Arabidopsis thaliana: one gene and its partners. The protein of the gene in region 4 interacts with the protein of the main gene of each other region in a biochemical or structural test. Each region holds a gene or a part of one and is shown on either strand. Other genes may lie near its edges.

The links.
Region 1: of the proteins of PP2CA (region 4) and ABI5, one has a biochemical effect on the other in vitro, tested with the Arabidopsis thaliana proteins (one study listed by BioGRID).
Region 2: the proteins of PP2CA (region 4) and KT2/3 form a complex in vitro, tested with the Arabidopsis thaliana proteins (one study listed by BioGRID).
Region 3: of the proteins of PP2CA (region 4) and ABF2, one has a biochemical effect on the other in vitro, tested with the Arabidopsis thaliana proteins (one study listed by BioGRID).

Annotation. Positions count from the first base shown.
Region 1 is NC_003071.7:15,201,709-15,209,313, forward strand, and holds ABI5 (Basic-leucine zipper (bZIP) transcription factor family protein), read right to left. Parts: upstream 5,929-7,605; 5' UTR 5,653-5,928; intron 4,953-5,652; exon of another isoform or gene 4,871-4,952; 5' UTR 4,864-4,870; coding exon 3,733-4,863; intron 3,652-3,732; coding exon 3,580-3,651; intron 3,492-3,579; coding exon 3,360-3,491; coding exon of another isoform or gene 3,272-3,359; 3' UTR 3,037-3,271; downstream 1-3,036. Other genes in the region: AT2G36255 (Defensin-like (DEFL) family protein), read right to left, coding at 1-20; AT2G36260 (Iron-sulfur cluster biosynthesis family protein), read left to right, coding at 1,078-1,219, 1,530-1,647, 1,723-1,792; AT2G36290 (alpha/beta-Hydrolases superfamily protein), read right to left, coding at 7,159-7,464, 7,541-7,605. UniProt on the Arabidopsis thaliana protein: Participates in ABA-regulated gene expression during seed development and subsequent vegetative stage by acting as the major mediator of ABA repression of growth.
Region 2 is NC_003075.7:11,744,193-11,753,052, reverse strand, and holds KT2/3 (potassium transport 2/3), read left to right. Parts: upstream 1-2,354; 5' UTR 2,355-2,961; coding exon 2,962-3,188; intron 3,189-3,302; coding exon 3,303-3,521; intron 3,522-3,776; coding exon 3,777-3,935; intron 3,936-4,016; coding exon 4,017-4,074; intron 4,075-4,164; coding exon 4,165-4,479; intron 4,480-4,568; coding exon 4,569-4,808; intron 4,809-4,886; coding exon 4,887-5,402; coding exon of another isoform or gene 5,403-5,468; exon of another isoform or gene 5,469-5,494; coding exon 5,495-5,570; intron 5,571-5,653; coding exon 5,654-6,127; intron 6,128-6,262; coding exon 6,263-6,387; 3' UTR 6,388-6,563; downstream 6,564-8,860. Other genes in the region: LCR85 (low-molecular-weight cysteine-rich 85), read right to left, coding at 237-424, 510-585. UniProt on the Arabidopsis thaliana protein: Highly selective and weak inward-rectifying potassium channel. Plays a role in both loading and unloading potassium into/from the phloem sap. Seems to control sugar loading into phloem via a voltage-dependent process.
Region 3 is NC_003070.9:17,162,122-17,169,420, forward strand, and holds ABF2 (abscisic acid responsive elements-binding factor 2), read right to left. Parts: upstream 5,769-7,299; 5' UTR 5,652-5,768; intron 5,621-5,651; exon of another isoform or gene 5,361-5,620; 5' UTR 5,340-5,360; coding exon 4,221-5,339; coding exon of another isoform or gene 4,068-4,220; exon of another isoform or gene 3,949-4,067; coding exon of another isoform or gene 3,904-3,948; exon of another isoform or gene 3,662-3,903; coding exon 3,590-3,661; intron 3,510-3,589; coding exon 3,480-3,509; intron 3,374-3,479; coding exon 3,299-3,373; 3' UTR 3,037-3,298; downstream 1-3,036. Other genes in the region: AT1G45248 (Nucleolar histone methyltransferase-related protein), read right to left, coding at 1,119-1,155, 1,225-1,299, 1,414-1,562, 1,660-1,755, 2,076-2,108. UniProt on the Arabidopsis thaliana protein: Involved in ABA and stress responses and acts as a positive component of glucose signal transduction. Functions as a transcriptional activator in the ABA-inducible expression of rd29B.
Region 4 is NC_003074.8:3,580,746-3,587,559, reverse strand, and holds PP2CA (protein phosphatase 2CA), read left to right. Parts: upstream 1-1,709; 5' UTR 1,710-1,910; coding exon 1,911-2,354; intron 2,355-2,439; coding exon 2,440-2,775; intron 2,776-2,867; coding exon 2,868-2,973; intron 2,974-3,065; coding exon 3,066-3,379; 3' UTR 3,380-3,778; downstream 3,779-6,814. Other genes in the region: AT3G11405 (uncharacterized protein), read right to left, coding at 6,201-6,665. UniProt on the Arabidopsis thaliana protein: Major negative regulator of abscisic acid (ABA) responses during seed germination and cold acclimation. Confers insensitivity to ABA.

The DNA of each region.
Region 1 (7,605 bases), on a different chromosome or scaffold from region 4:
TTAACTATGAGCTTTGCCATATTTCTTTGTTGTTGTTTTGTGTTTGCTTCTTCTTCTTTTTTTAATAGAGCAGAGATTGATGAGCTTGTAGCTAACTATTTGAAAGCATAGAATCATTTATAGGGCAAACTCGTTGACTTTTATTTCTTCTATTTGAATCCAAGACATATATAGTTTATTAGTTTTTGTGTAATATGGATTAATGTATATAATGTCGCCATAATTTGAATTGCTAGTTGACAAAACAGAAATGAATTGCACGATCCACCCAATGTCTCGCTAATGATCTCTCTATGTTGCATCCAAATTGTAACAATTTTTTATATAGCAACATATTATAATTTTAATGTCATTATTTTGGCCCAACTAAAATTCAAGGGATGAGGATAAAGTATATAGAACACCAAACCTTGTATCATACGTATGAATACACAGAAATAGTTAAATATAATTATTGAAGTGTTCTTAGTAAAGTGCCTTGACTCAACTTAACATAATGAGCACATATAATGACATTGATATTGTATTGACTCTTTGTTTCATATGATACTATACCAAATAAATTTCTTATTATATAAAATGTTTTCATAACAATTTGACATGTCGCATAATTATAATCTCATGTTTTGCGATTAGCTTTTCCGCCAAAAAATGCTATATAACCAGAGGCTTAGAGTGAGAATAAAACAAGAAACAAATCAAACACAACAATTTTCCGCTTGTAAATGTGATCGTAGCCTTGGAGGACTTATAACTTAGGGTTCATGGGAGAATGTTAGTGGACGAATACGGGAGCGTTGACACGTTTGGTAGTTATTATTATGTTGTGTAATTAAGACTTTTTCTGGAAGCTAGATCGTTTCATCATCCCATATTCAATACAAACTTTATATATTACTAATACTAATTCTTTCGGGCTTTACAGGCCTAAACAGTTCTTAAGACTTGTTCACTAAATTATATATTAAAGTACAATGGCTCTTTAAATATCAACTTGTAACAAATTTGCTTGGACGTCTTCTTCCTCTCTGAAAAATCTTTAGCACAAATTTGAAATCCTCGAATATTTGGTCGGCGATGAGAAAGCAAGTATTAGCATTGAGTGACACGGCGGCTGCGAGGATTCGCCAACTTCTGCAGCATCAGCAAAAACCTTTCCTCCGCCTTGCTGTTGAAGCCAAAGGATGCAATGGCCTATCTTACGTCCTCAATTACGCCCGTAATTTCCATTTTTTCCCACATATATATTTCTTTTTTGTTGATTTTTTCCTCATAAATTATGTTGATATATATTTGATGCTCATGATGAGGAGGGAGTTCATATTGATTAGAGAGATGTATGTAATAATTAAAGGCACATATTCTATCAGGTTCAGAGTCAAGTTTTAGGGTAGGTTTTGTCACCTTCCTAGGAACCTAAGACCTTTTGTTTTGTAGCACTTTTGAGAACTTTTAATAGATGACTTAAATGTGTCCTGACTCCTGAGGCTTCCTATTTGGCGTTGTTCTGCTATGATCTTTGTTTTCAGAGGAGAAAGGGAAGTTTGATGAGGTGGTCGAGGAGAAAGGTGTAAAGATCCTTGTGGATCCAAAGGCGGTGATGCATGTGATTGGGACAGAGATGGATTTCGTGGACGATAAGCTTAGGTTTGTGCCCTTTCACGTGCCAATCTTGACACTCTCTTTATTCATGGTAAACATGTTTGCATTGTATTGGCACAGGTCTGAGTTTGTGTTCGTCAATCCAAACGCGACAAAGTGTGGATGTGGTGAGTCATTCACGACAACATGAAAGGCAAAATTACACATATAACATAATAAGACATATATAACTCTATTACTCTACCACAGTAGTCGATGAAATTTGCTTTGTAAATACAACTATCTTAAGGCTGTCTTCCGTGTAGGTTCGCAATTTGCGACGTTTGCGATGATTTAATGTAATGTGAATAAGTGTGTGTGGAAATGGGTTTCGTTTCTACGTATTACTCTGGATTTCTTACGACTTCAACAAACCAATGAAATTTTGACATCAAAAATAACTCCGACATAAAAATTGGCCAAGTCGGAAACATTTTACGATAAATAAAAACCCCACACTGAAGCCTGGTAAAAAAAAGTGGGTAGAAATGTGAGTGTGGTTGATTACTCTAGCCCGGTTAAAGTCAGCCACTTTAAAACACAAACATCTTCCTCTACAAGATTCTCACACTCTCTCTCTCACTCACACAAAAGAAGAAGAAGAAAAGATTCTGGCAAAAAGATTCATCCTCCATTCCTCCTCCTCTGACGATATCACCGATCAACAGCTCGGAGATTCCACTTCCGACGGCTGCTACGTCATCAAGAAGGTTGAGAGAACTGTGTGCAAGAAGAAACAGGGCTGGCGTGGTAAATCCATCAAGACATGCCAAACATCCATTGAGATCCATATCCATTGTCAAGCCAAGTAAGCATTTCTGTTCTCTCGGAATTGAGAGTTTTCTAGGGTTTAGAGTTTACTTGATTCGTACGGGTTATTAGTGATTTTAGAGTGTTTGATTTTGTAAGTTACATGATTACAGAGTCTTCCAAACCAACACGGTTGACACTGATCAAGACGATCTCAGTGCTCTTCCGAAACGGTTCTAATTAATTCTTCGACTTAATCTTAAGAAAATTTACCCTACTTTCAATCACTAACTAACTTGTTTCTCTTGTTCTTGATTGTTGTTGTTGCAGCTAGAAGAGGAAGTGGAGAAGGTATATGACTCGAGAAGAGTGTGTTCCACAGAGAATGCAATAGACAAATCAACATGAAGAAGACAACACTCTCTCTCTCTCACGTTTACTTTGTTCCTTGCTCTTTCTCTCCTTGTATTACTGAATGTTAAGCAGTACTCTAATGTAATTTGCATCTTGATCTATCTAGGTTACTAGGTTTAACTATCTGACTTGTGTCCCGAGTATCTTTTGTCTTGCGCATTGTGTCATTCCAAATTAAGACTCTTCATGGTAGTGCACAGAAACAGAGTGTACCTAAATCTACAAGTGAGCATAACACTCGTTATATTTTCCAAAGATTGATGATGTTGAAACACAGAATCACTTTCTTTGTTCACAGGGAACACTAGTAAAGCAGATCAGATGGTGTTCCTCCTACCAACACAGAAAACATCAAAGTATAAAGATTCTATAACCTCATTCCTCAAAGACAAAACAACAACGTAGAAAATCATCAGTTTTTCCCTCGTTCTGTCTCCGACTTCTTCTCCATCTTCCTATTGTTTGTTTAGAGTGGACAACTCGGGTTCCTCATCAATGTCCGCAATCTCCCGTTCGATTTCGGCAATTTCGGTTGTGCCCTTGACTTCAAACTCTCAAAATACTGCAACCATAAACCAACAATTCCATTTTGTAGTTTTCTTCTGACCAAAATACTGCAACCATCTTAGTAATGCAAACTCAATAGGTGTCTTTACCTGTTGCTTCCTCTTCCTCTCCAACTCCGCCTTGATGAAAACATAACAAAGGCTAAATTGTTACAAACTCACTTTCACAAAAAGAATAAACTCTTTAACGAGATGAGTAAATATATACCAATGCATGTTTTAGCTGCGCATTCTCTTCTTTCAACTGGTTAAGTTCAGCTTCCAATTCCACTGTATATGCCTTCCCAAAACAACAACAACAAACATTAGATTTTTTTCAACAAGAAACATCATAAAAGGAATGAAGAAGGTCTCTATTTACTTGTTTTCTTGCTCTAGATCTAGCAGCAGACTCGCGGTTCTTGATCATCCTCCTCTGTCTTCTCTCCACTACTTTCTCCACTGGACCATCCACTACTCTTTTCCTTCCCCTTAGCCCTCCCATATCTACTCCATACTGACCTCCTATGTTATCCACTTGTCCATGTCCTAATCCATCTGAAGACACCGGGCTTAACGGTCCAACCATTCCCATTTGCTGTCCACCCGCTCCAAACCCAACGCCACCTCCATAGCAAACACCTGCCTGAACTGGTGGCGCCTGCTGATACCCTCCTCCTCCTGTCCTTTTAGCATAACCTGATGGGTCACCCACACCCATAGCTTGACCCGGGAATGAAGGATCACCGGTTCCTTGAAACACACCATAAAGCTGTTGCTGTGCAGCTGCGGGTATTACACTAGACGGGTTTTGGTTTTGGTTCGGGTTTGGATTAGGTTTAGGATTAGTGGGATGTTCTCTAACCACACCAGCCTTCACCAAGAAATCCTCAAGTGTCATCTCTCCAAAAGTCGGTTGTCTAGCCGCAGTCTCACCGCCGTTCTGAGCATTGTTCTGTCCATTACTACTACTACTACGTCCATTGCTGTCTCCTCCATTACCGCTACCACCACCTCTATGTATCTCAGACCAAACCTCATCAACAGTCTTCCTACAAAGCGGAGCTGGAAGTGTCAAAGAGCCTTGTCGAGGAAGACTAGACTCGTTCGCTATCCCTCTCTTATTGTTAGCATCTTCGTTGCCTCTAGAACCACCACTAAAGACACCAACACCACCCTCGCCTCCATTGTTATTGTTGTTGTTGAAACCATTGTGATTAGCCGGAACAGAATGTGAACCTGCAGCTGCTGCTGCTTGTTGTTGATTGTTATTATTCTCCTCTGCGTTCCAAATAGAGACAAGAAACTCGTCCATGTTCATGGACCCAAAGTTCTTGCCGTTCTCACATAAAGCATGTTGGAACTCGTCAAGGGTCAATGAGTAGATAGAGGATTGTCTTCCCAAAGAAGTAAACGGATGATTCTCACCACCACCTCCTCCATTATGTCTCGCTTGCGCCATGGACGACTCTACTTCTCGCTCTGACGTCAACTTCGTTTCTCTAGTTACCATTTAACAACTGCATCATATACACAACAATAACCATTTTTATATCTGTATTCACACAAACTATATTGAAATATGGATACCACCTAAACGACAATAACAATTTTGTCTCTTATATATTAAATTCATCGTATTATTTTGACCAAACTTCAGTTACTTGTCCCTGTTCAGCTATTCACGAAACTCACTTAATAGTTGTCCCTTATTCAACTATCACGAAAAAAGACAATTGAATTATTTGATAATTGATGCTCTCAAAGAATGAAATAAATTATTTTGGTAAAGTGGAGTTTAAATGACGTAAAAAATATTGAAATAACAAGAATGAAAGAAGGTAATTAAGTCGGTCCACGTGAAAATAAAGAAGAACGGTCCACATCGTGACAGCGACAAACGATACTAAAATTAGCAATAAATAAACTAATAATTTACTCTTCCAATAAAGTTTTCGTTACCAAAAGAGGAAAATATCTTAACCCACTCGTTTTCTTCTTAAAGCGAACTTATCAACACAAGATTTTTTTCCTCTTTAATCATTTATTAATACGGTTTTAAACAAAAGATAATCTAGAGCTTAACCTGATGATTAGTAAAATAAATTAATCATTAGCTTGGGTCATCATTATATCCGTCTATTACTAAGTATCACTTTACCACAAAGTTTAATATTTGGTAATACGCAGATAAGTAAGGACCAGAAAACGAAGACCTAAACTTATAAATAAAGAGATAGATTTATTTAACAGTCTTCTAATCCAAGATCTTGAAAAATTATAAAACAAGAAAAGTGTTAACCTGAAAATGAAATCTGTGTGTCTAAAAACCGGTGGCTTTGTGTTCCTCCGCCGCCGGAAAACTGAGAGAATCCGCTTCTTGTTATGGAGGTTCTCCTCCTTCACATAGTTTAAAAGCCGCCGGAGAATTTTGACTGAAAGGTTTTGAGAAAGAGAGAGATAAATGGGTAGGAGGCGGTAAAAGAGAGATTGATATTTATGTTCTCACCGTGAGAGTGTGGCGCGTGGGGTCTAAGAAGAGAGGCGTGAAGGTCAACATCTTTTGTCTAAAGTTATCTTTCGACCAATGGAATGCTAACTTAGACAGGTCCAGGTCCAGGCCCATGATCAGAGACAAAGAATCCGTTCGGCTGCGGACGACACGTGTCCTGCACGTGTCTCTCTTCTGTTTCTTGCAGTGTCTTCTCACAGGCTCGACACGTGTGACTTCGGCTACACAAATGTTTTTTTACGTCTAAAACTAGACATGATTTTCTCTCTTTTAAGCATATATAAGATAATAAGAACGTGAAATTTGGATTAGAAGAGCGAATTAAAGTGTGATCTTTTTTTACATATTGGTTCATGATTTGTTTTGTGAAATTGACGGATTAATTTGATTGATCAATACTGATTTACTTTGGTAAAAACATATTTAGGTTAGATTCAAGATGTTATGAAAGAAATAGTCAAAGTTTGTAAACACTTGTTTGTCGTTGAGCTTCTAGCTGGTGAAAGTAGACTTGTTAGATTTTGAATAGAATTACGTTTAGTGAGACAAAAACTTATTAAAGAATTAAAACAAATCAAAGTCGAGAAATTATCCTCTTCCTTTTTTACTTTTTTTTTCGAAGATATTTTATTTAACTTTGACAAAAAAAAAAAAACATGATTCCGAACTTCCATTGGGAGTGCACGTGGACTATTCACTGCATAAGGACTATCGAATTTTAAATGCTTAATTTATCAAGTGTTTCTAATAGCCAAAAAACTAAAAACAAAAATAAAAAAGATTATCCGACCTGCCGGAATCGAACCAGCGACCTAAAGATTACAGCAACTACTACAGTCTTCCGCTCTACCAACTGAGCTAAGGTCGGATTGATGCTAATTAGCCTAATGCGGTTTTATATAAACTTAACTATTAATTATCATATTGGCCTCTTTAGTTACTTTTTTCCTTTGATTGTTTTTAGACCATGCAAACACAAACACAAGTGGCCCATAATTCAATTAATACACCTAATTTTGTTCTGACACATCTCACAATTAATGGCTGTCTAAGCCTAATATTAAACTAGTTGACATTAGCCTAAAATTGGGTGATATACAGAAACAGCTTTTTGAGATGAATGCTGAGAATGTTTTACATAGGTACCAGAACTCTTTACTAATCACCCACAATATATATCAGCAACCAAGAGAAACTTGAGATTCTCATGAATCTCTCTGATCCCGGTTCAAAATATCATAGCAATGCATGTTACAAAACCAAAACTAGCCAACTTTTTGAGAGAGAAGACATCGTTTACTTCTTCACTCCATCATTGGTTAAGAGCGTTTTAACAATGTTATTAACCATACCTGGAGCAAACGGGAACAAATGCCCTGCTCCAGGAATCTCATGGTAATGGATCCATGGCAGCTTCTTCGCAATGTAACGTTGCAGAGTCACAGGGACAAGCACATCATCATCTCCCTGCCACAAGTGCACTGATCCTTCATTGTTCGGGAACAGATTCTCGAGCTCCATTGGATCGAACTCCCAAGTTCCAAATCCAACAATCATGTCACGGTGCAATGTCTCGTGTGTTCCTTGTTGCCTTATTTGTGCCTTCATAGAGACTTAGATTTGATAAATGCAAATAGGTAGGTGAAGAAAAAGAAGTCATGAAGAATGTTGTATATACCTCATGTTGGCTCCTTGCAGCACCGAGCTTAAACATGATCTCTTTGTCTGCTTTGGACAACATAC
Region 2 (8,860 bases), on a different chromosome or scaffold from region 4:
AAAAAAATCTAAAAACATTGGTTAGCTAAATACAACAAGAACTAACAAAAACGTTTGTCAACGGAAACACTCCAACTTTATTGGAGACTTGACAACGCAAAACAAACAGAAGCACAACAGAGTACAAGGCAAAACACTCAAAACATATGATGTGATGAAATGAAAGCATAAACATGCAAATAGCAAAACACACACACTCACACACACAAAGCGACGTCGTTTTCTAGCATCTGCAATCACATGCTTTCCATTTCAGCACTGCTCTCTACATTATGGCAGCAATAACAGACACTTAAACCAGGAAAACGAGCATCTGAGCATTCGCCTCCAGTAAAATTGCGGCCCAATGAATTGCATTGTGTATTGCAAGAGAACAACATACTACATAAACCCGCTGCGCTGTCACACACTCTACGCCCATCTACTTGTGTCCAGTCCATATATAGAAAGATGCAACATTTCATTAACATGTATTTATTCTAAATCTTCTTTTAACTAAATTTACGTACCTGTAGGAGACATGAGGAGGATGGAGAGACATACAACTACTGCAACAGCAAATGTGCTCACTCTTAAGCTCCCCATTGCTGATTTCTCAGTTCTTTTTTTTTTAAAACACTAGATATCTCTCAATTCTTCTTTCTTTTTTCCGCTTTGTGATTTATTTAGCGAAGGAGTCTGAATTTATAGCACTGAAGGGAAAATGAGAGGCTCAAACATGTAACTTTATTTTATTTTATTTATTTATGTTATTTGTATTTATTTTTAAAGAAAACATCACTATGCAATTTTATATTGGAACTAGGATTTAACCCGTGGTATACCACGGAGCAAATATTTTATTTATATATATAATAATCTTAAATTTTAAGGTTTTAAATTTTTAGTATTAAAATTATATAATTTTATATTAATATTGTAAAAAAAAAATTAGTGATGATAGAATAATAAATAAAGATTTAACCCGCGTTATATCAATGCAAACCCGTCCCACTATATAACTCGTCTCATAATATTTTAATATCTTTTTATAAGGATAAATATTAATAATGTTTTATAAAGTTAAAATATATCAATAATAATATACCATTAATGCTAATAGATCTCTTTAAAAAAGAATATTAGTGTGTAGTACATTTTAGATTTGGAAAGATTTAAATGATTGTTGTGATATATTTATTTTAATTCTAAATTTTAGTAACAAAATTGATTTATATTTGGATTTGAGAAGAAATTTGTTAAAATATTAAATGCTAATGGCATTGGATGGTAAATAAATCTCAACTTGAGGATTTATTTCATAAAAGTGCTGCAAAAATGTATATGTAGATGAGTAAATAGATCAAATAACTTTCAGTCAACATATTTACAATAAAATGATTCTCCAATATTGAAAATCACATCTGTCATTAGCATCAATAAAATCGAATTTTATTATATAGTATACGTAACGAGACACACATTGAGTCTAAAATATTGAAAATACTCACTATCACATATGTCAACGATAACACTAATTTTTTTTTTTGTATAATATACGTAACGAGACCTGCATTAGATCTAATTTTTAATCGATTAGAGCTTAAATGACATCGTTTTGGTTTGACTAAGAGAATCGTTAAAAATGTTAGAAAATCTGTTAAAGCTTAATAACTGTTTGTTTGTTTTTTTTCTTTCTTTTTTTGTCAATCGAAAATTAGACTATTAAATGACAATTTTCCGTTTAAAATGGCAAGTCCTAGATTTGAAAAGGTCTTTTGAAATCTTTTTAAGAGAATTAAGGGTGAATTAAATATATTCAGAAATTAAAGGGTCGAATTGCAAACTTTCTTGGTTCATACTTGGTCTGCCTTTGTCCCTTTCTTATCTTCTTCGCGCGCTTTTGAAAAAAATAGAAACCCGCCACTGAACGTCAGTCTTCCACGTGTCCTCTCCTGTGCTCTGTTTCCGATCGTCGGAGACATCAATTTGCCTGCTTGTAGGGTGATTCGTCAAATCTATTATCAGGTTTTAAATATACTCGAATTGACTTCCAAATTCTTAGTCTCTAGTGTAATGATTTTGAGAATCACTTAACTCCAAAAATATAATCCACGATCCCGTGTTAATTATTGAAGAATCAATCGTTTTTAATTTCTCACCAATAGATGTTGCTCTTATTACTTAAAACAAATTGTTTAGACAAATGTAGCAAGTGTGATACTTAGTGGGATCTTAAAGACGATTTCTCCTATAACAGAGGACAAACAGGTCGGTCAATTACAATGTCATCCCTCTTTACCCTGTCTTTTTTTTTCTTCTTAAAACCTAACCATTTGATTGTTTCTAAAGGTATTTCAAGAATATATGATCAATCTAGATGAATACTATACCGACGATGACTACACACACAAGGAAATATATATATCAGCTTTCTTTTCACCTAAAAGTGGTCCCGGTTTAGAATCTAATTCCTTTATCTCTCATTTTCTTCTGCTTCACATTCCCGCTAGTCAAATGTTAATAAGTGCACACAACGTTTTCTCGAAGCATTAGAATGTCCTCCTCTTAATTAATCTCCTTCTGATTAGATTCTCAATAGAGTTTAAATTTGTTAATGGAGAGATATATTGGGACCCTCAAGGCTTCTAATTATACCACGTTTGGCATAATTCTCTATCGTTTGGGGCCACATCTTTCACACTTCATTACCTTATCACCAAAACATAAAATCAATCAACTTTTTTTTGCCTTATTGATTGTGTTGGATCCCTCCAAAATTAAAACTTGTGTTCCCCACAAAAGCTTACCCAATTTCACTTCAATCTTAACAAATAGGACCACCACTACCACGTACGGTTTGCATCATACAAACCACAAACTCCTTCTTCATTACAATTATTATATCATCTACTAAAACCTCTTTCTCCCTCTCTCTTTCTTGTTCTTAGTGCTAAATTTTCTTTGTTCAGGAGAAATATAATGGACCTCAAGTATTCAGCATCTCATTGCAACTTATCCTCAGACATGAAGCTCAGGCGTTTTCATCAGCATCGAGGAAAAGGAAGAGAAGAAGAGTATGATGCTTCTTCTCTCAGCTTGAACAATCTGTCAAAACTTATTCTTCCTCCACTTGGTGTTGCTAGCTATAACCAGAATCACATCAGGTCTAGTGGATGGATCATCTCACCTATGGACTCAAGATACAGGTACCATCCATATTGATGAAACAGAGTACCTGAAAAATACATTCTTTATATCTCAGTGACATAAAAGAATGCTTGAATTAGTGATAACGTAAAGAAGTTAAATGGTTGATTCAGGTGCTGGGAATTTTATATGGTGCTTTTAGTGGCATACTCTGCGTGGGTTTACCCTTTTGAAGTTGCATTTCTGAATTCATCACCAAAGAGAAACCTTTGTATCGCGGACAACATCGTAGACTTGTTCTTCGCGGTTGACATTGTCTTGACGTTTTTCGTTGCTTACATAGACGAAAGAACACAGCTTCTTGTCCGTGAACCTAAACAGATTGCAGTGAGGTCAGTGATTGTTATTCATGATCTTAGTTTCACCTTTTTTATTTGATCTGATATCTTTAGCTAAGTGGAAGAAGACAAGGTTTAGGTGACTGTTGAGCCCACACCATGTGATTCTTTTATTTTCATAATCAGTTAGATAGATTTCTGTTTTTGGAATAAACAGAAAGATTCTACTTATATATATTAGGTGAAAAGAAAGCTTTTTAAATAAATGTGTTAGTTCTTGCTTAATGCTATTTTAATATCTCATTAAAGGTACCTATCAACATGGTTCTTGATGGATGTTGCATCAACTATACCATTTGACGCTATTGGATACTTAATCACTGGCACATCCACGTTAAATATCACTTGTAATCTCTTGGGATTACTTAGATTTTGGCGACTTCGAAGAGTTAAACACCTCTTCACTAGGTACACTAATTCCCTATGACTCTATGTCATGTCTCTGATCAAGAAGGTAACAAAATGATTCTATTTTTGGTGTTGTTTTAGGCTCGAGAAGGACATAAGATATAGCTATTTCTGGATTCGCTGCTTTCGACTTCTATCAGTGAGTAAATAACTTATAAGTGAAGGAACAAGATCACATTTCTTTAGATTTTGTAGTTGCAGTACATGATGAGGTTTGAGTGTTTTACAGGTGACATTGTTTCTAGTGCACTGTGCTGGATGCAGTTATTACCTAATAGCAGACAGATATCCACACCAAGGAAAGACATGGACTGATGCGATCCCTAATTTCACAGAGACAAGTCTTTCCATCAGATACATTGCAGCTATATATTGGTCTATCACTACAATGACCACAGTGGGATATGGAGATCTTCATGCAAGCAACACTATTGAAATGGTATTCATAACAGTCTACATGTTATTCAATCTTGGCCTCACTGCTTACCTTATTGGTAACATGACTAATTTGGTCGTGGAAGGGACTCGTCGTACCATGGAATTTGTGAGTCTCACGCTCTATACAAGATTAAGTCTTTTCTGTTTGTATAGTTTGCTCAAGGAAGATCTTATGTTGTTGTTGTGGTGGTGCAGAGGAATAGCATTGAAGCAGCGTCAAACTTTGTTAACAGAAACAGATTGCCTCCTAGATTAAAAGACCAGATATTAGCTTACATGTGTTTAAGGTTTAAAGCAGAGAGCTTAAATCAGCAACATCTTATTGACCAGCTCCCAAAATCTATCTACAAAAGCATTTGTCAACATCTTTTTCTTCCATCTGTTGAAAAAGTTTACCTCTTCAAAGGCGTCTCAAGAGAAATACTTCTTCTTCTGGTGAGTTAATTTTCTGACATGATTGGTTGAGTTTTGGCTTGCTGGATAAGTTTTCTAAACAGAGGTTTTGGTGATTAGGTTTCAAAAATGAAGGCTGAGTATATACCACCAAGAGAGGATGTCATTATGCAGAACGAAGCGCCGGATGATGTTTACATAATTGTGTCAGGAGAAGTTGAGATCATTGATTCAGAGATGGAGAGAGAGTCTGTTTTAGGCACTCTACGTTGTGGAGACATATTTGGAGAAGTTGGAGCACTTTGTTGCAGACCACAAAGCTACACTTTTCAAACTAAGTCTTTATCACAGCTTCTCCGACTCAAAACATCTTTCCTTATTGAGACAATGCAGATTAAACAACAAGACAATGCCACAATGCTCAAGAACTTCTTGCAGCATCACAAAAAGCTGAGTAATTTAGACATTGGTGATCTAAAGGCACAACAAAATGGCGAAAACACCGATGTTGTTCCTCCTAACATTGCCTCAAATCTCATCGCTGTGGTGACTACAGGCAATGCAGCTCTTCTTGATGAGCTACTTAAGGCTAAGTTAAGCCCTGACATTACAGATTCCAAAGGAAAAACTCCATTGGTAACGTTTTGCTTTCACCATAAGCCATTTAAAACCCTTACTCATAATCATCATCACAGCCGTTAATTCGTCGTCTTATATTCATGTTTCAGCATGTAGCAGCTTCTAGAGGATATGAAGATTGTGTTTTAGTACTCTTAAAGCACGGTTGCAACATCCACATAAGAGGTAAACACATCATACTTAAGAACCGTTATGTTTTATGTTCTACTGATATGTTTTAAGAACAAGATTTTATCATAATCTTGCAGATGTGAATGGTAATAGTGCTCTATGGGAAGCAATAATATCGAAGCATTACGAGATATTCAGAATCCTTTATCATTTCGCAGCCATATCGGATCCACACATAGCTGGAGATCTTCTATGTGAAGCAGCGAAACAGAACAATGTAGAAGTCATGAAGGCTCTTTTAAAACAGGGGCTTAACGTCGACACAGAGGATCACCATGGCGTCACAGCTTTACAGGTCGCTATGGCGGAGGATCAGATGGACATGGTGAATCTCCTGGCGACGAACGGTGCAGATGTAGTTTGTGTGAATACACATAATGAATTCACACCATTGGAGAAGTTAAGAGTTGTGGAAGAAGAAGAAGAAGAAGAACGAGGAAGAGTGAGTATTTACAGAGGACATCCATTGGAGAGGAGAGAAAGAAGTTGCAATGAAGCTGGGAAGCTTATTCTTCTTCCTCCTTCACTTGATGACCTCAAGAAAATTGCAGGTAAAGATACAAATTACACAAGTGACTAGAGTTTAAACACCAAATTACGGTTTAGGTTATATGGTGTTAAACCGGTTCAAATTGGTTTTGGTTTATTGAGCTAACCGGGTTTTGGTGTGCATGTGCTAAAAACAGGAGAGAAGTTTGGGTTTGATGGAAGTGAGACGATGGTGACGAATGAAGATGGAGCTGAGATTGACAGTATTGAAGTGATTAGAGATAATGACAAACTCTACTTTGTCGTAAACAAGATAATTTAGAAGTTGAAAAATTATAACGAAATGAAGTTTGAGATAAGAGAGAGCGTGACAAAAAAATGAAAAACAAATTGTAATATTTATATGCGTCCATCAAAGTGAGATGTAACACATATTTGGGTAAGAAACGTTCCAAATAATAAATTTAAATTTACTAAAATAATAAAATCCAAAATGAGTTCAAATTTATTAGAAACCTAATCTACTGTACAAACTTTTCAACTAGGTATATAGTTTCTACATATATGAAAATGTGACGTGACTGTCGTAGTATCAGTATCACATGCTATGCTACGGTTCGAATTTAGCTGAATTATTGAGTTTTTTTCGTATTTTATTTTGGAACATAATTTTTGAGGTTGTACACGTTGTTTTGTTTGCAAGGGAAAAACTTTATTCTTTGGTATTATGGAATAGTCGTCGAGTTGAAGAGAATGATCCACGTGACCTTCACGTGAATAGTAGTTCTATGATATTTCTTTGTCAATGAATCCATAAAATGATGCGACTTTTTTTTGTACCACTTGAAGTTTAGACACACTCCAAACCCTACCTCACATTTCTAGTTTTTGTGGAGTTGATTCTTTCTGAATTAGTATGATGTAAGAAATATGAATGTAACTAATAATAAAGTATTGTGGAGATAATCATATAAAAAATGGACAAGAACATAGAACCAAAATAACATTCAAACTATATCCTTAGATTTGTGATTAGTTTGAAAAATATAATTCGTTGACGAGAAAAATACGCAAAGAACCATATGTATGCTGTCTAAGGACCTACAAAGAAACTCCGTTAACAATTATGGACTGTCGTCGTCCATTACCAAATTTTAGTTCGTGTAGCATTTATCAACTATCCAAATATAAACAACTTTTGAGTATCAGAAAATGCGTTGGCTAAAAGGAACTCGAGCCTAAAACTTCGTTAACCAACATATATAAAACTATTGTTTCAATATTACTATTTTAAAATCAGTTTAGAATGATTTGTATTATTAAAAATTGTGTCATTGAAAGCTAATTAAAAATTTGTAAGTCGTAACATGGGGTGTACGGATGGGGAAATGTGAAAACCTAAAATACCAAATCTATGTAACGTCGAAGTTGCGTGCAGAGAGAAAGGGTTGGGTTATTTACGACATTTCACAATCACGACCCTACGACATTAAATGAGTGTGAGATAATGCTATCCATCACATGGCCTTACATTATCTATGTCTGTTTCCAAACACAAACCAACCAACAAATCTTTTTGCTATTTTTGTATTAATTTTTTCCCATTTGATGATCATTTATATAGAAAAAAATAGATTTATGAGATCTTTTTTATATTTCTGCTAGCTTACATATTTTTTCTTAGTATTTTTAAAAATTTCTTGAACTAGTTAAAATCACAGCCAGTCACTGGTGGTGAACCCGTAATGCTACAGCAGAAAAAGCTAAACAATACGATAAAAAGCGTTTAATACGTGTAGGTCCTATTAAAATCACGTTTCATTCTTTTAACTATTTGTTTCCTTCTGTTTAATGGGCCTCATTCTTGGCCCGTTTACCCCTTCTGGCTGTCTTTTATCGCTAATAATAATGTACTTTGGGACTACATTTGTTTTTTGTTTTTTTTTTGTTTTGACAGCCAACATTTGTCTATTAAGTGTATTGGTGTCGTAAACATAACATAACTTGGTAAGGAATTTGGCAAGACAAAAAAACATAGCAGAACAAAAGAATGAAATTATTCGTGAATGTAGAGAAAAATATCAAACATTAATGATAAGATTCATTCGTTAGACACTCAATTTTAAAAATGGTGGAGATATTAAATAGAATTAAATAATAAAGTGTACTGTATTTATAGATTTTCTCATTGTTGATCACTCATTTTCTATGTTCCGCCAACCTATTGTGATTAATTTTTCCTAATAAAACCACCACTTTATGAAACAATTTGACTATTTCGTAAATTAATCATCAAAAAGTCAATACATTGATTTTGTCGTTTTTATTTGGCACAAACGAGTGAAACTTGATACTAACAAAACAAAGGCTTGTACATAAGTATAGGACTAGGAATATCGAATATGTATAGCATGCGTGTACGTCGGTGGCTTGGTGGTTGTATCTACAATTAAACAAAACTCTAAGTATTCATTTTTCATTAGTTATGAAGTAAAATCCCTAAGTATGTGCTATTCTTATTTTCCATGAAATGCGGTCGAGGAATGTGGTTCGTTCGTCTAATTATTATAGTCAAATTAAAGTAATGATTGAAAAATCACATGATGGATAAATAATTAAACTTTTGAAGTTTTGAAAGTTGATATCACCAACATCACAATGACATCATATTTGAATAAAACGTAAATAATTTTGTGTGTTTTAGAAGACAAAATAAGAGGAAAATGTAAAATGGAAATGACTTTTGGGTTCAGAGGGTAATGATAATTGCAGAAGATTTTAAACATGAAAAAGGG
Region 3 (7,299 bases), on a different chromosome or scaffold from region 4:
CTATCATGGCAAAATATGTTCTATAGTGCATTTTCTCACAATTTCTAGAATGTTTAAATTAGAAAACTATTTCCCATTACGCATGTTTGGTATAAACTGCTGAAATGCAACAAATAAATGAGAATCACAACGCACCTTGGCTTTCACGTCCATTGACTTGATCACATTGTGCAGCAAGAAAACAGTTTCTCGATGTCAGAATGAACCAAGAACATCACTAGCTGAATGTTGCCAATTTATCCAAGAGATAACTGCAGGAAGTGAAAAAAGAACACAGCTTAAAACTGGTATCCAAGTTCAACAACGACAGTTGTGCATTGAGTTATATATTATCAACAACAGGTCCCGACTTCGATTCTGGGAATGCCCCATTGACTCTTTTATTCTAGGAAATGGGAGCTCAGAACAGTTGCATATAGTAATGTGCCAGGTCTATAGTTTCTGATTTGTCAAACAAAGCCAGCTTTGTTCTTAAATTTTCATTACAATAAACAGTTTCAATCATCACTGAAACTGACAGATACACAAAATGTATACTTTTGTGCCTTAACTACATAGCAGAATGAACTAGAAAGAGCAAAGAATGAAGATACTTACCCACTTTAGTGGAAGAAACGCATCCACTGATTCCTAAGAAGGAATTCTTGATTCATCTCGCATTTCAGGTGGATCCAGTCCCATAGATTTGAGAAAAGAAAGCTGGTTTCGGAATTTCGTCGAACATGTGGTAGGCTACGTCATGTCAAACCAAATTAACGAAAGATCGCCTCTCTTGTGTCGGCAAATCATTAGAATAACGATGACGACCGAGAGAAGAGAGTCTCACTTGTGCTGTGCTATTCAATGAAAATTAAGTGCACTCTTATTCGTTAGTTAAGACACAACCGTATTGCAAGATCATGTGAAGATGAGCTTACTCTCTCACTATACTTGCTAGTTTTTTAACTCTAACTCCAATATATATCAATTTTAGTTACATGAGCTTATGACTACTTTAGTTGTACTTCAACTTCTTCTGTCCATATACTTCTCTGAGAATCTCTTCAAGTTCTTCACAGAGAGGTTCTGGAGTTAGCTGAATCATCTCATCACTATCCTTATCTGGATCTGTCTCCTCCTCACTGCTTAGCCATCCACAGTGAGAACTCTGCGCACCTACAGAATGATTTTGACCTCAGTTAAAGAATGATTCATGCATTGAGATTGTTATGGAGATTAGTATACCTCCAACAGAATGGTGTGCATAATCTACTGGTGGTGCTTCTACGAATTGAAAAGCTGATGGTGATGAGTCCATGACTGCTTCGTTAGTGATCAATAACGCATATAGGTTCAAGAAACCACTGATCGTTCAAGCAAAACTAATACCAACAATGAAAAGAAACAAATTTGTAACCAAGATGAACAAATCACCTTTTCTTCTTCTGGTTCTTCCTGAGCTGTTTCTTCGTGTTCCTCGGCCGCCAATCGGTAGGCTTGTTCCTCTTGCTTTTTAAGGGAAATATTAAGGAGACCTCATAGTTAGCATCTTCAATCAGAAACCATTGGTCCTCACCATACACCTGAAATCCAAATTGAGTAAAGTGTCACTTTTGAAGTTTGAAGTAAAGTTTTTTTCTAGCAAGGGCAGATAGAGAACTCTAAAACTAACGAACAAACCTTTAGCACTTGCTTGATACTCGCATTGATAACAGGCTTCTTAAACCCAAACTCTTTCATGCGGTCTCGTGCTGCATCCTCACGCCTCAATCCAATCTGCTTGCAAAACAAGAAGAAGAAAGTAGCAATTTAATACCCTCTAAAGGCGAGAAAATCATAGTTGAAGAAAAACAAACTTATCAAACAGATATCTATTTCTCATTGAGAATCAACTGAAACAAGCGAAAATTCAAGAACAAACGAAGCAAACCAGAAACCTAAGTATGAAACCTAGTGGATCTTCTATTCTCCTAAACCTCCACCACACTTCTGTTTAATCCTCTACGTAACAGTAAAGCTTACTTAAGTATGAAACCCAAGTCCCGAACCACACTGATCTGTAGTGTTCAATCGTCTATGCTAGCAAGAAAGCTTACATTTTTTCTTCCTTTGGGACCTTCGGGAGCCATTTCTATCTTCTCTGATCGTTTCTGAAGAATTTGGAGGAGAAAAATATCAGTTTCCAGTCTTTGGATTCAAAATCAAACAAACAAAGGTTACACAAGAGTGATCAGTTTTCAAACCTATGCAACAAAAAGAAAAACAAAAAATCTTGAAACACTATAAGAAGAAGACAATAAAATAAGGAAATTTGTTCACTAACATTGACAAAACCCAGAAATTTCCACAGAGAAGTCCAAATTTTTGAAAAAAAAGATGAAGAAAAAACCAATTTTACTGCTCGTTTCTAACAAATTCAAAAGCATTAGTAACACAATGCTATATCGAAATGTTCCAAATTTCAAACATACATCACAATAAAACCCATTACAGACGTTAGTCATGAATAATTAACCTTTTATTTTGTCCTCGGAAAACATGGAAAGATAGAGTTGGGTAAGACGAAATACCTAAAGATAGTATTTGATTTTACACCGGAGACGAAACGAATCAACGAAAAACTAGGGTTTTGCAGGTGAAATTAGGGAGAATTTGAGCGACGAAGTGGGAGAGAATGAGAGTGAACACTTTCATTTTTAGTAACTAAAAAATCAAACCGAATAAGTCGGTTTTGGTTCGATTCGGTCATCGGTTAAATTGGTTCGGTTATGTATTTATTCTCCATGCAAATGATTAATCCCGTTTGGTTTGGTTATCGAATTTAGAGGAATTTTACTTTGATACATACATAAATTTCAGTACAAATGTTTACTTTGTGTAACTGTCGGTTCAGTGAACCACATCAAACCGACTCGGTTACCTCATCCGTCCGAAATGACCAAGGTTCGGTTCGGTTTGGGTTATAGTCGCTTGCCTAGAAGGCTAGAATGCTGTGTTGGCACAGGTCATAGTTTTGGCACTCAGAGAAACCAAACAACACTTCAATTCTTCAAAATTGGTAACTCCAAGATCAAGAAAGTACATTTTGAGGTTTAATAGCGACAACGACAAACAACAACGAGAAACACACACAAAATTCTTGGTCTAAATAAAGCAAAAGAGATTCTGATGATCCTGTGTATGTAAAAAACATAACATATATGGAGAGAGCTTACAATATAAACGATGAAAGCTCTTCTCTATTAAGTCTAATTCAACTAAAACACCTAAGTGGGATGTCATTTATCTACAGAAACTAAGTATGATGGCATTGATTGATTCACCAAGGTCCCGACTCTGTCCTCCTCAGCTTTTTCTTTGGACCTCCTTGCAGAAGATTCCTCATCTCCGTCTCCTGTTTTATACATAGCACGGAAACAAACAACCAAGTTTACAAGTTCAGCTATGAAATGTGCAGTTTAGAGATTCCAGTGTTGTTGCATTGGCATAAGAATTATTACCTGATTCTTTTGCATTTCCATGATCCTTGCCTGTAAAACATGAGGCGTACAATGAGAAATGAATGTAACGTATGAGCAACTGTGATGCTGAGACATGGTTTTGTGATTACCTGCTTTCGTTGTAACTCGTCATTCTCTTCCTTTAACTTTGCAACTTCAGCTTCAAGCTCCACGGTGTAAGCCTATGAACCAAAACAAGCACGACTGAGAAGCTTATGAGATAAAGACTAGAGTGCCATTCAAAACATTTAGACCCTCAAATGTAGAACTCAACAGTTTGGTCATAGTACATGTCAGATGTAACAGGTTTTTGGGAGCACCAATTACCCATTACCTTGCCCCAAAAGAAAAACCATGTCGCCACTACTCAGGTTTTGACGATGAACCCTCACTACTCATTTAAACTCTGAGCCACCTCATGACATTAGCAAATTACATTCCAGTATATTGTTTGGTCTGCCGTGAATATCTGCGGATGGGCAACATGTATATACACCAAAACCAGAAGGTTCATATTTGTTTGCGAGATTCATTCAGCCACAAGTACTGATTTCAAGTCCCAATAATTCTGTTTAGTTGTTTACTACACTACTTCACACAAGACACTTTACGCTTTGAATTCAACGCTTCATTGTGGTTAAAGAACTTAACTACAAGATAAGCTAACCAATTTACTTTACATATCTTTTGGCTTATAACACAATCAAGAGTACATAGATAGATGGTGATGAAGAGATTAACCTGTTTCCTGGCCCGGGACCTTGCAGCTGATTCTCGGTTCTTTATCATTCTCCTTTGCCTTCTCTCTACAACTTTCTCCACAGTGCCACTCTTTCTACCTCTCACACCACCATTAAACATGTAAGGAGACGGAGAGAGTGATGAAGAATCACCATTACTCTTCCCTATCCCTTCTGATGACAATGGCGTAACAGGCGACACAGCACCAACGCCTAAAGCTCCAGGAATTGCAGCAGAAGCACCTTGGACAAAGCCCACATTGTTCGTTAAAGACTGATCTCCAAGTCCCACAAGACCACCACCTCTTATCCCAGGACTATTAAGCTGACCCATTTGTGTTCCATAACCAAAACCAGGCTGCTTAGGCATGATTGGCTGTTGCTGTTGCGATTGCTGGTATGTTGTTCTAGCTCCATTCACATTCAGAGGCAAACTAGAACCTTGAACCTGCAAAGAATTTGCAGTCTCTGCACCAAGATTTCCCATTACACCAGCGGCAACAACTCGTGGAGAAGGCTGCTGAAACTCGACAGAGAAACCTGTGTTGGCATCATTACCAAAGTAACCGCCTTTATTGTTCTCAGCAATCTGAGCTCTTGCAGCAACCTGAGCTTCCTCTCTCACAACACCAGCACGAACCAAAAACTCCTCCAAAGTTACTTCACCTAATGTTTGCTGCCTCTGACTCTGACTCTGACTCTGAGCCTGAGCCACCTGAGACAAGTTACTTCCCCCTACTCCACTACTTCCAACTTTGGATAGATCTTTCCAAACTTGATCAACCGTCTTCTGACTAAGCGTTCGAGGCAGAGTCAACGAGCCTTGCCTCTGCAGCTGCAAACCCTCTTGACCTCCACCAAGAACTGGAACCACACCACTAGCCATGGCTTGTGTTTCTTCAGCACTCCATATATTCTTTAACAACTCATCCATGTTCATTGACCCAAAATCTTTCCCTACACTGCTCTGAAACTCATCAAACGTCAACGAGTATATCGAACCTTGTCTAGTCAACCCTCCACCTCCACCACCATCTCCTGGTGGCTCATTCCCCAAATTCATACTACCATCCATTTTTCTACAAAATCTGCTTCCACCTAATAACTGGATCTGAACCATGAATACAAAAAAAAATCCAAACTTTAGTTTAAAAATCCAAACTTTAGTATCAGAACCCTAATCTATAAATAAAAATCAAGAAATCTGCAAAACCCAATTCAAAAACACTAACAGATTTCAAAACTTTAATAGTCAAATGGATAAAAACAGATTAAACCAACAGGAGAATATGAATGCGTTTATGACAAGTATTAGGCACAATTAGTAATTTTATCCAAAAATTAAGTGTGGACATAAATCGAAAGAATTAAAAGAAGATGAACAAAAACCACAGTTTCTTCTATACACACAAAGAGAAGAAAAATCTATTACCTTTTTGCTAAATTCGTGTGCTTTGTAATTTTCCCAAAAAATTTCAAAATGTTTGGTTCTTCGTTTGGGTGATTAGGTAGTTTGTCTGGTGAGCCAAGTGTCTCTCTGGCTCCTAACAATCTTGAATAAATACTACTTTTGCTAATTATTTTAATAAAATGGTATATACTCTGTATCTTTGTATTTTGCGTCACTTTCCCTCTTCGTTTTTATTTTACTAATTTCACTTACTAATTGTTTTCCTTTTCAGGATTTATGTTGTTTTAATTTACTTTAGGTTCCTAAAATAAGTTGTTTTCACTTTGGAATTCCGTCCAAAAATCATTGTATCTACACAATAAATTAAAATGTTAAAACGTCTTTAAAATTGTAAAATTAAGATTGGATTATGTTTATGAAAATAAAGTATTATATACTAGAAAAGAAATGAAAATATTGTATTTTACATATATATATATATATATTAATATTATATCTGGCGAATTTGGATATGTTGACTTGGAAATTATGATATCTAGATCCAAATGTTGCTTGGACAAATCCAAATTGTTACTACCCAGATTTCCAAGTAATATCTAAATATTTAAATATTTTGAGAGAAACCAAATGATTTTTGGGTATGTAAACTTTAAAATTGTATTTAAATCAATTTGGACGGATTCAAATTTTTACTATTGATCTCAACACTTTGAATATCGGAAATTTTGGAAAGAATAGTGACAAATTCTTTATATCGGATTCGAGATAATAATTTCACTCTAACAATTGTGCTAATTAACCAATTAATATTTATTTGTTTAGGTACACATGGTTGCGGTGGTTGGAGAACAAAATGGGTTTGTAGATTAGACAACTTCTTATTTATCATTCACAAAATTATAATTTGTAGTGGTATATACAAAACAAAAAGAAAAAAAAACTCTATATACAAAATAATTCATATAGTTCTTACATAAAAAATTGGTATTATATATGGGTATAGTCCTAAAACTTCTCAGAAAGTTTACATATCAAAATGGATTAAAGTTTACCAATCAAAATGTTCGTTAAAAAAGAAAATATTGGTATAATTCCAAATTTTAATCCGATTTATCCACAATATCCATTCAAAACCTTAATTCTTTTTAAAAAAATCAGCTAATATTTTATTTCACCGGTGAATTGAAAACGCTTCTCCATCCTGAAGTGACAAAGGTCCAATAATCAATCACCTGAGTTTGTTATTTATGATCGGTCCACTTACTTCTTTAGTCCTCTGATTACAAAAGTTTTAAAAAAGAAAAAAGTAGTTGTAACGAAATAACGTGTCGCTCCATTACTGTCACAACCAACAAAAACAAAAACACGAACCAACCTCGATGAGACAGACACATAATGAAACCAAATCTCAGCCGTTGATTGTCGATGTAACGTGGACGAACACTATTATTTGCTTTCACATCGACTTTGTGTTTTGTGGGGGAAGATGTCAGAAACCAAAGAGTCTTCTTACTTTTTTTCCATTGGTCCACGTCTCTAGTTTTTAGTTGGGCTCACCTTCACATTATCAAACCCATCTTATTATTTTTTACGTTTAAAAATTAAATACAAGGACAATAATACTCTCAATTCACTAATTATAGTAGTGTTTTTTTTTTTTCTGCTAAAG
Region 4 (6,814 bases):
AAGTCTTCTATATGTAATTATGGATTGTGGTGTAGGTTTTAATCGTTTTCCAAGTTATGAAATTCTAACATCAAAACTAGGACTAGAAAAAAAACCAAAGCCGAAGATTTATTATATTGGGTTCGAAATTAAACTTGAACCCGAAGATTTACTATATTGGATCCTAAATTTTTTAATCCAAAAAATCTAAGTCGAATCCGAAAATACCGGTATTTTATTCGAAAATCTAAATTTATTCGAAATCTAAAATTTTATCCAAAAATTCAGGTATTTACTCAAAAATTCGGATATCGGTTCTAAAAGGACCCTGAAAATTTATATCCAAACCGATTAAAAACCGATTGGATACAAACTTAAACCAAACCGATATTTTGGATTTATCCCATTGAATCTTAAACTTTTATATCCAAAAAAATCATATCTAATCGGGTTTTACCCGAACTTAACCCAAATGCCCACCTTTAATTATTCAAAACCAAAAAAGAAGTGTTTGATGCTGAGGTTTGAACTCATCAGATACACGTAACTATTTTCCAATTTATTTTCGTTTATGTGCATTTCAGAATTTCAAGCATAAATATACTCTTATTGTTTAAACATTTCAAATTGCATGTGTGAAATAATATCAGAGTTAGAATATATGTTAATCTTCTCTTCTCCTAGATTCAGTTAGATACGTTTCTATCTTCTTTTAGGCAACATCTCTTGTACAAATAGTCTCTTTGGCAATTCAATACAATCAACCTTTTACGATATATATATTTGTTATTTCTTGTACAAATAGGATCAAAATTGTTATTTCTGAAGCAAATTTTCTTTAGTTTGGATGTCAATTATATCCTCGATTAATATGTAATCACGGAACGGATTCACGATGCGTTATTTTAGAAGCAAATTTATACTTGATAGTACGTTCAGAGGCATCGCTTTTGTACAAATTGAAGCGGGTTTGTTCAATATTTAAAATAACACAGGAAACATTCAAATGTATTATTGATGTTGCTTAGGTTTGTGAAATGATATGAACCATATCGTATATATTACTAGATTTTTCTTATATGTTTTAAGGGTAGTGGGGCTGACCTATCATTCTGTTTGGCATTACCAATCAGACTATCAGAGTATTCACCATTCAGGATTCCATAACTAGAAAAAGAAGGGGTTTACATTTTCTCATACTGTATAATTTTCTACTATCAGAGATTTTATCGATTACATTAATCTCATAGTGATTATTCTGATTTATAAAAAAGTTGACAAAATAATTAAAACCAGTATTTTATAACAAGATTGTCTCTCTCCCATGGCCATTATTTTGACCTCTGACTTATTTAAATCTTAATTAACAGCATAATACTGTATTAAGCGTATTTAAATGAAACAAAATAAAAGAAAAAAAGAACAAAACGAAAGAGTGGACCACATGCGTGTCAAGAAAGGCCGGTCGTTACCGTTAAGGTGTGTCGAACTGTGATTGGGCCACGTTAACGGCGTATCCAAAAGAAAGAAAGGGCACGTGTATAGATCTAGGAAAAAAGAAAGAATGGACGGTTTAGATTGTATCTAGGTACCAGGAAATGGAACGTCACACCAAACGGTACGTGTCGGATCCTGCCCGTTGATGCTGACGGTCAGCAACTTCCCCTTATTCATGCCCCCCTGCCCGTTAATTACGTGTAACCCTTCCATGCGAAAATCAAACCCTTTTTTTTTTTTGCGTTCTTCTTCAACTTTTCTTTTTAAATCAAACCTTTTCTTTTTAAAATCACATTGCATTTCCTAACGCTCAACAAAATCTCTCTCTACTAATATCTCTCTCTCTCTCTCTCTATTGTTGAAGAAGACTCATAATCGGAGATTGTTTGTTTTTGGTTTGCTCTGTAAATTGGAGAAGTTTTGTTAGAGATCAAATGGCTGGGATTTGTTGCGGTGTTGTTGGAGAGACTGAACCGGCGGCACCGGTTGATTCAACTTCTCGAGCTTCTCTTAGACGGAGGTTAGATCTACTTCCGTCGATCAAAATTGTTGCTGACTCCGCCGTTGCTCCTCCGCTTGAAAACTGCCGTAAACGGCAGAAGCGTGAGACAGTAGTGCTCTCGACGTTACCGGGAAATCTAGATCTGGATTCGAATGTGAGGAGTGAGAATAAGAAGGCTAGATCAGCGGTTACGAATTCAAATTCTGTTACGGAAGCAGAGAGTTTCTTTTCCGATGTACCTAAGATCGGTACGACGTCGGTTTGTGGTAGAAGACGAGACATGGAAGACGCTGTCTCGATTCATCCTTCGTTTCTTCAACGGAACTCTGAGAATCATCATTTCTACGGTGTCTTTGACGGCCATGGCTGCTCTCATGTACGTTAATTTCCTCTGTTTAGTAATATTTTTTTCTTTTGTTTGTGATTAGTTACTAATTAGGGTTTTGTTTGGTTGATTTTAGGTTGCGGAGAAGTGCAGAGAACGGTTGCATGATATAGTGAAGAAGGAAGTTGAAGTTATGGCTTCCGACGAGTGGACAGAGACGATGGTTAAGAGTTTTCAAAAAATGGATAAAGAAGTTAGCCAACGAGAGTGTAACTTAGTTGTTAATGGTGCTACTCGGAGTATGAAAAATTCTTGTAGATGTGAATTGCAGTCTCCTCAGTGTGACGCCGTCGGATCCACCGCTGTTGTATCGGTTGTCACGCCGGAGAAGATCATTGTTTCTAATTGCGGTGATTCACGGGCTGTGCTTTGTCGTAACGGTGTAGCCATTCCTCTCTCCGTAGATCACAAGGTAGTTAAAATTATGTCTTATATAGAATTACGAATTGGTTAGTATGAATCAAGATGGCATGGTTCTAAGAGTTTTTGTTTTGTGATGAACAGCCGGATCGACCCGATGAATTGATTCGGATCCAACAAGCTGGTGGGCGAGTTATATATTGGGATGGAGCTAGGGTTCTTGGAGTTCTTGCCATGTCTAGAGCAATTGGTGAGTGAATCTCTCTTGTGATTTGACTTTTTAGGCTATTTTGAATTACACGTTTGAATTTAATCTGATGATTATTGTTTTTGTTTGTATAGGTGATAATTACTTGAAACCGTATGTGATTCCGGATCCGGAGGTAACAGTGACGGATCGAACTGATGAGGATGAGTGTTTGATCTTGGCGAGTGATGGACTATGGGATGTTGTACCAAACGAGACGGCGTGTGGCGTGGCTCGCATGTGCCTTCGAGGTGCTGGTGCGGGTGACGACTCAGATGCGGCGCACAATGCGTGCTCCGATGCGGCGTTGCTCTTAACAAAGTTGGCTCTAGCAAGACAGAGCTCCGATAACGTGAGCGTCGTTGTGGTTGACTTGAGGAAGAGGAGGAATAATCAAGCGTCGTCTTAATAATTAGTGTTATAATTAGTAGTAGTATTAGAATAATTGTTACATAGCCTAATTGTAATTGTATTCTTTTTATTTTTCTATTTTAGTTTTTCTCATTTTAAGGTGTTTTTTCTTTTCTATTTTAGTTAGCTCTTAATTCAGGCTGGGGAAGAAAAAGAGCTGATTAAATAGTTTGAGTATTTTTCTTATTTTTCTATTCAGGTAATATTATACATGTATTCTTTTAGTATGGTCGTTGGAAATGTAATAATCTAATTCAGAGGGGAAAAATGTTAAAATGAAAGAACAGATTATGCGTATTTACCATTTTAAAACTTCGGTTAATGTTATTCGATCCGAACTGGTTTAGTATGAGTCTCGACGATGATTTGAATCCAAACCGGTTACTTACTAATCTTCCCCTATCTTAAGAAGATTTTATTTATTTTATTGGTATGGGGTCGTATGGGAGACTCGCGTGTCGTAGACCGCGGCATTTTAGCACATAATTGTAATTAAAAGATTCAAGGATAATATTAGAAACATAAATCAACAAAAATATATATATATCTTGGTGGAAGAGACTAATCTGGACAATCAATATAAGAACTAGAAAGTACAATGATTTATTAATTCTTTTAATACTAATGAAGATAGTTAAGTTAAGAGACTTGTCTGGCAACATTGTCGAATGCTTAATGTCAGTTAAGGTCGGAATCAATAATCAATTAAACAGATTTTGATTAAATTGACTAGAAAATATCAACTAGGAGGGTAAGAAAAAGGAATATGATCTTCACATTCTTTTATAAATAAATTAATATCAACTTGAACAAAAAATAATACATACTTTTAACCGTCCATTACTAGCCACTTGCCAGTTGCCACAATGACCAGATAATAAAATCTTATTCTATTCAATCATGTTTTTATAAACCCTTCACATTAATGTTTGTTAGGTATTAATCATACGTTAGGTTATGTTTTGTTTTCTAAACCAACAATTATTATGGGGTTTTGTTGAAGACATTTTTCGTAAACCTAGCATCTTTTGGATATGAAAATACCACATTTGAACCAAAACTACGGTAAATTTATATCCCCACGCGTGAAAAGTTCGATTGGATAATCCAATACATCACAATTGGTCGAAGTTTGGAGATTTCACCATCAAAAGATAAGGCACTGCCATAAAATTATTAGATCGGAATTCGCATAATGTTATAATGATGGATTGATTTTTTTAGCTGTTGCCTGTTGGGTTTGTGGAAAGAGTGAGAGGGCAACACAATAAAAGTTGGGGATTGAGAGGGACACAACACAAGTGGGAGCTTAGATAAGATTATGCCTACTTGTGACAATCAAATAGCAACACGTGTCTATTTGGTCTATGTGAGATTTGGTTTCCAAGATTTGATGTTGACCTCTCTTTCTCAATTATTCTTTCCCTTTTTTCGCTATACATCATAATGTTGTCTCAATTTGTCTTATTAAATATCTATTCATGTCCCTAATGGTTCTTACTTTATAGTATTGAGGAAGGCTTACATGACATCGTGAGTTCCTTGTGCTACATTAAAAATGTTAACAATAAGTTTGGTTTTATATCATAAGTCTAGTTTTAGCAAAACAACTAACTTTATACTTTTTCCTACATAAAATCCATTGCTAGTATAGATTTAAGTTAACTTAAAATGTCGTTAATTACATGTGTTTGGGACATAATAGAGAAACTTGGTCAGCCTTTTGACGATGTTGCCTGAAAGATATAGCTATATTCACTACAAAATACACAATTGAAATGCTCTAAAATTGTTAAAAATAACATTTTAAACCAAATATAGTTGGTAGACGATTTTAGCTCAACGGTGCAAACATACAAGTGAATTGTTCGACTAAATTTGTTAAATAAGACTTTTCACCAACTGTAGTAGTCCATCAATGATAAAAGGTAAAGAAAAGATGCATAGGCCGTAAAACCTATAATCATTGTTTTCATTTTTAAATTTGTATATTATGCAAAGGTTTAATAAAACGGAGAAGGATTTGTTTACTGACGATATTTGATTCCAAACGTAGAACACATTCTAAAAAAAAATATTTTCTTTTATGAATTTATGAATTTATGAATTAAAGAGCATAAAAAATTAAAATGACTTTAAATTTAAATAACTGAAGTAAAGAAATACTAATCAAATACAAACCATATAAGAACACCATAAGCAGAACGTAACATCATCATCTTAATGATTTGAAAGGGTCTCAGTCTCTCAGATTATGAATTTATGATGCAGTTTCATAGTGAAGAATGGTCCCAACAAGAAACTTTAAACTGTTTTTGTGTTTTAGAATTTCTCTATTTATATTTTTAGATAATGCTTCTATATCTAATTAGATAGATTTTACTTTGTTTTCAAAGTCTATCTCTTGCTCTTATTATCCTTCTTGGTCGATTTTGGTCCTAGCTAAGTTTTATTTGAAGCTTTTGTTTCTCTCATTGGTATACAGTTTTTAAAACATATAAAACAAGATTATTCTCTCAGCTAGAGTCGCTGGTCCTTTTTATATATTGTTTAAGAAGAAACTTGTCCCGACTAGTTTCTCCAAACCGCAATATATAAACCATATTTTTCTTTCCCTATTCAATTTGGTTTTAACTTTTGTTCGGTTGTAAGAAAACAGACGATAAAAAAGAAAAGAAAAGGAAACAGACGATAGCTTACGGCGAAGCAAATTAAATAATATGATATAGTAAATCATAATAATTGAAATCCATCCATATAAACAACAAGAAACGAAACTTTAGGGTCAAGCAAAATTAGGCTTTCACTTCCTTAACTTGCTACCCACGGAATATAAATTGAACCATATCCTTTACTAGAACTGTCACTAACCCTATCAAAGATCTCTCTTCCAAATCATCAATGGACGAATTAGGGTTTACTGAATCATGCTCATCCAGAGAAGAATTTAACCCCGTCTCCCACAAGAATGCACCCACTGCAAATTCTTTTTTGCAGGACAAGTTACCGATATCTGTAGGCAGACCATAGAGTTTGAGAAGTCGATCGAGTTCTTCCTCCGACATAATGTCGTACTGTTCCTTTGCGTAATTCGGGTACTGAAGAGGCATTTGAAACGAAGACGGTGACGAAGAACCAAACAAGCTGGCGAATTGGTCGCTTTCATTGTCCGATGATGAATTAGATGTTTTTTTGCCGACGACATCTATATTTTCGACATAGTCATTGTTGAAGTTTTGTAGTTCGTCACGGAAGATAATACTGAGTTTTGAAACCTTTTCCATTGTTTCAATGAAATTCTAAAATTTGACCTTCTACTAAGAAGAAATTACTTAAGCTGATATATATGCAGTTAAAAATAAATGGAAATTTTACTTTTTCGACTAAATTTAACAAAGGAAATTTTCTTATTTTTACATAATGATACGAAAAT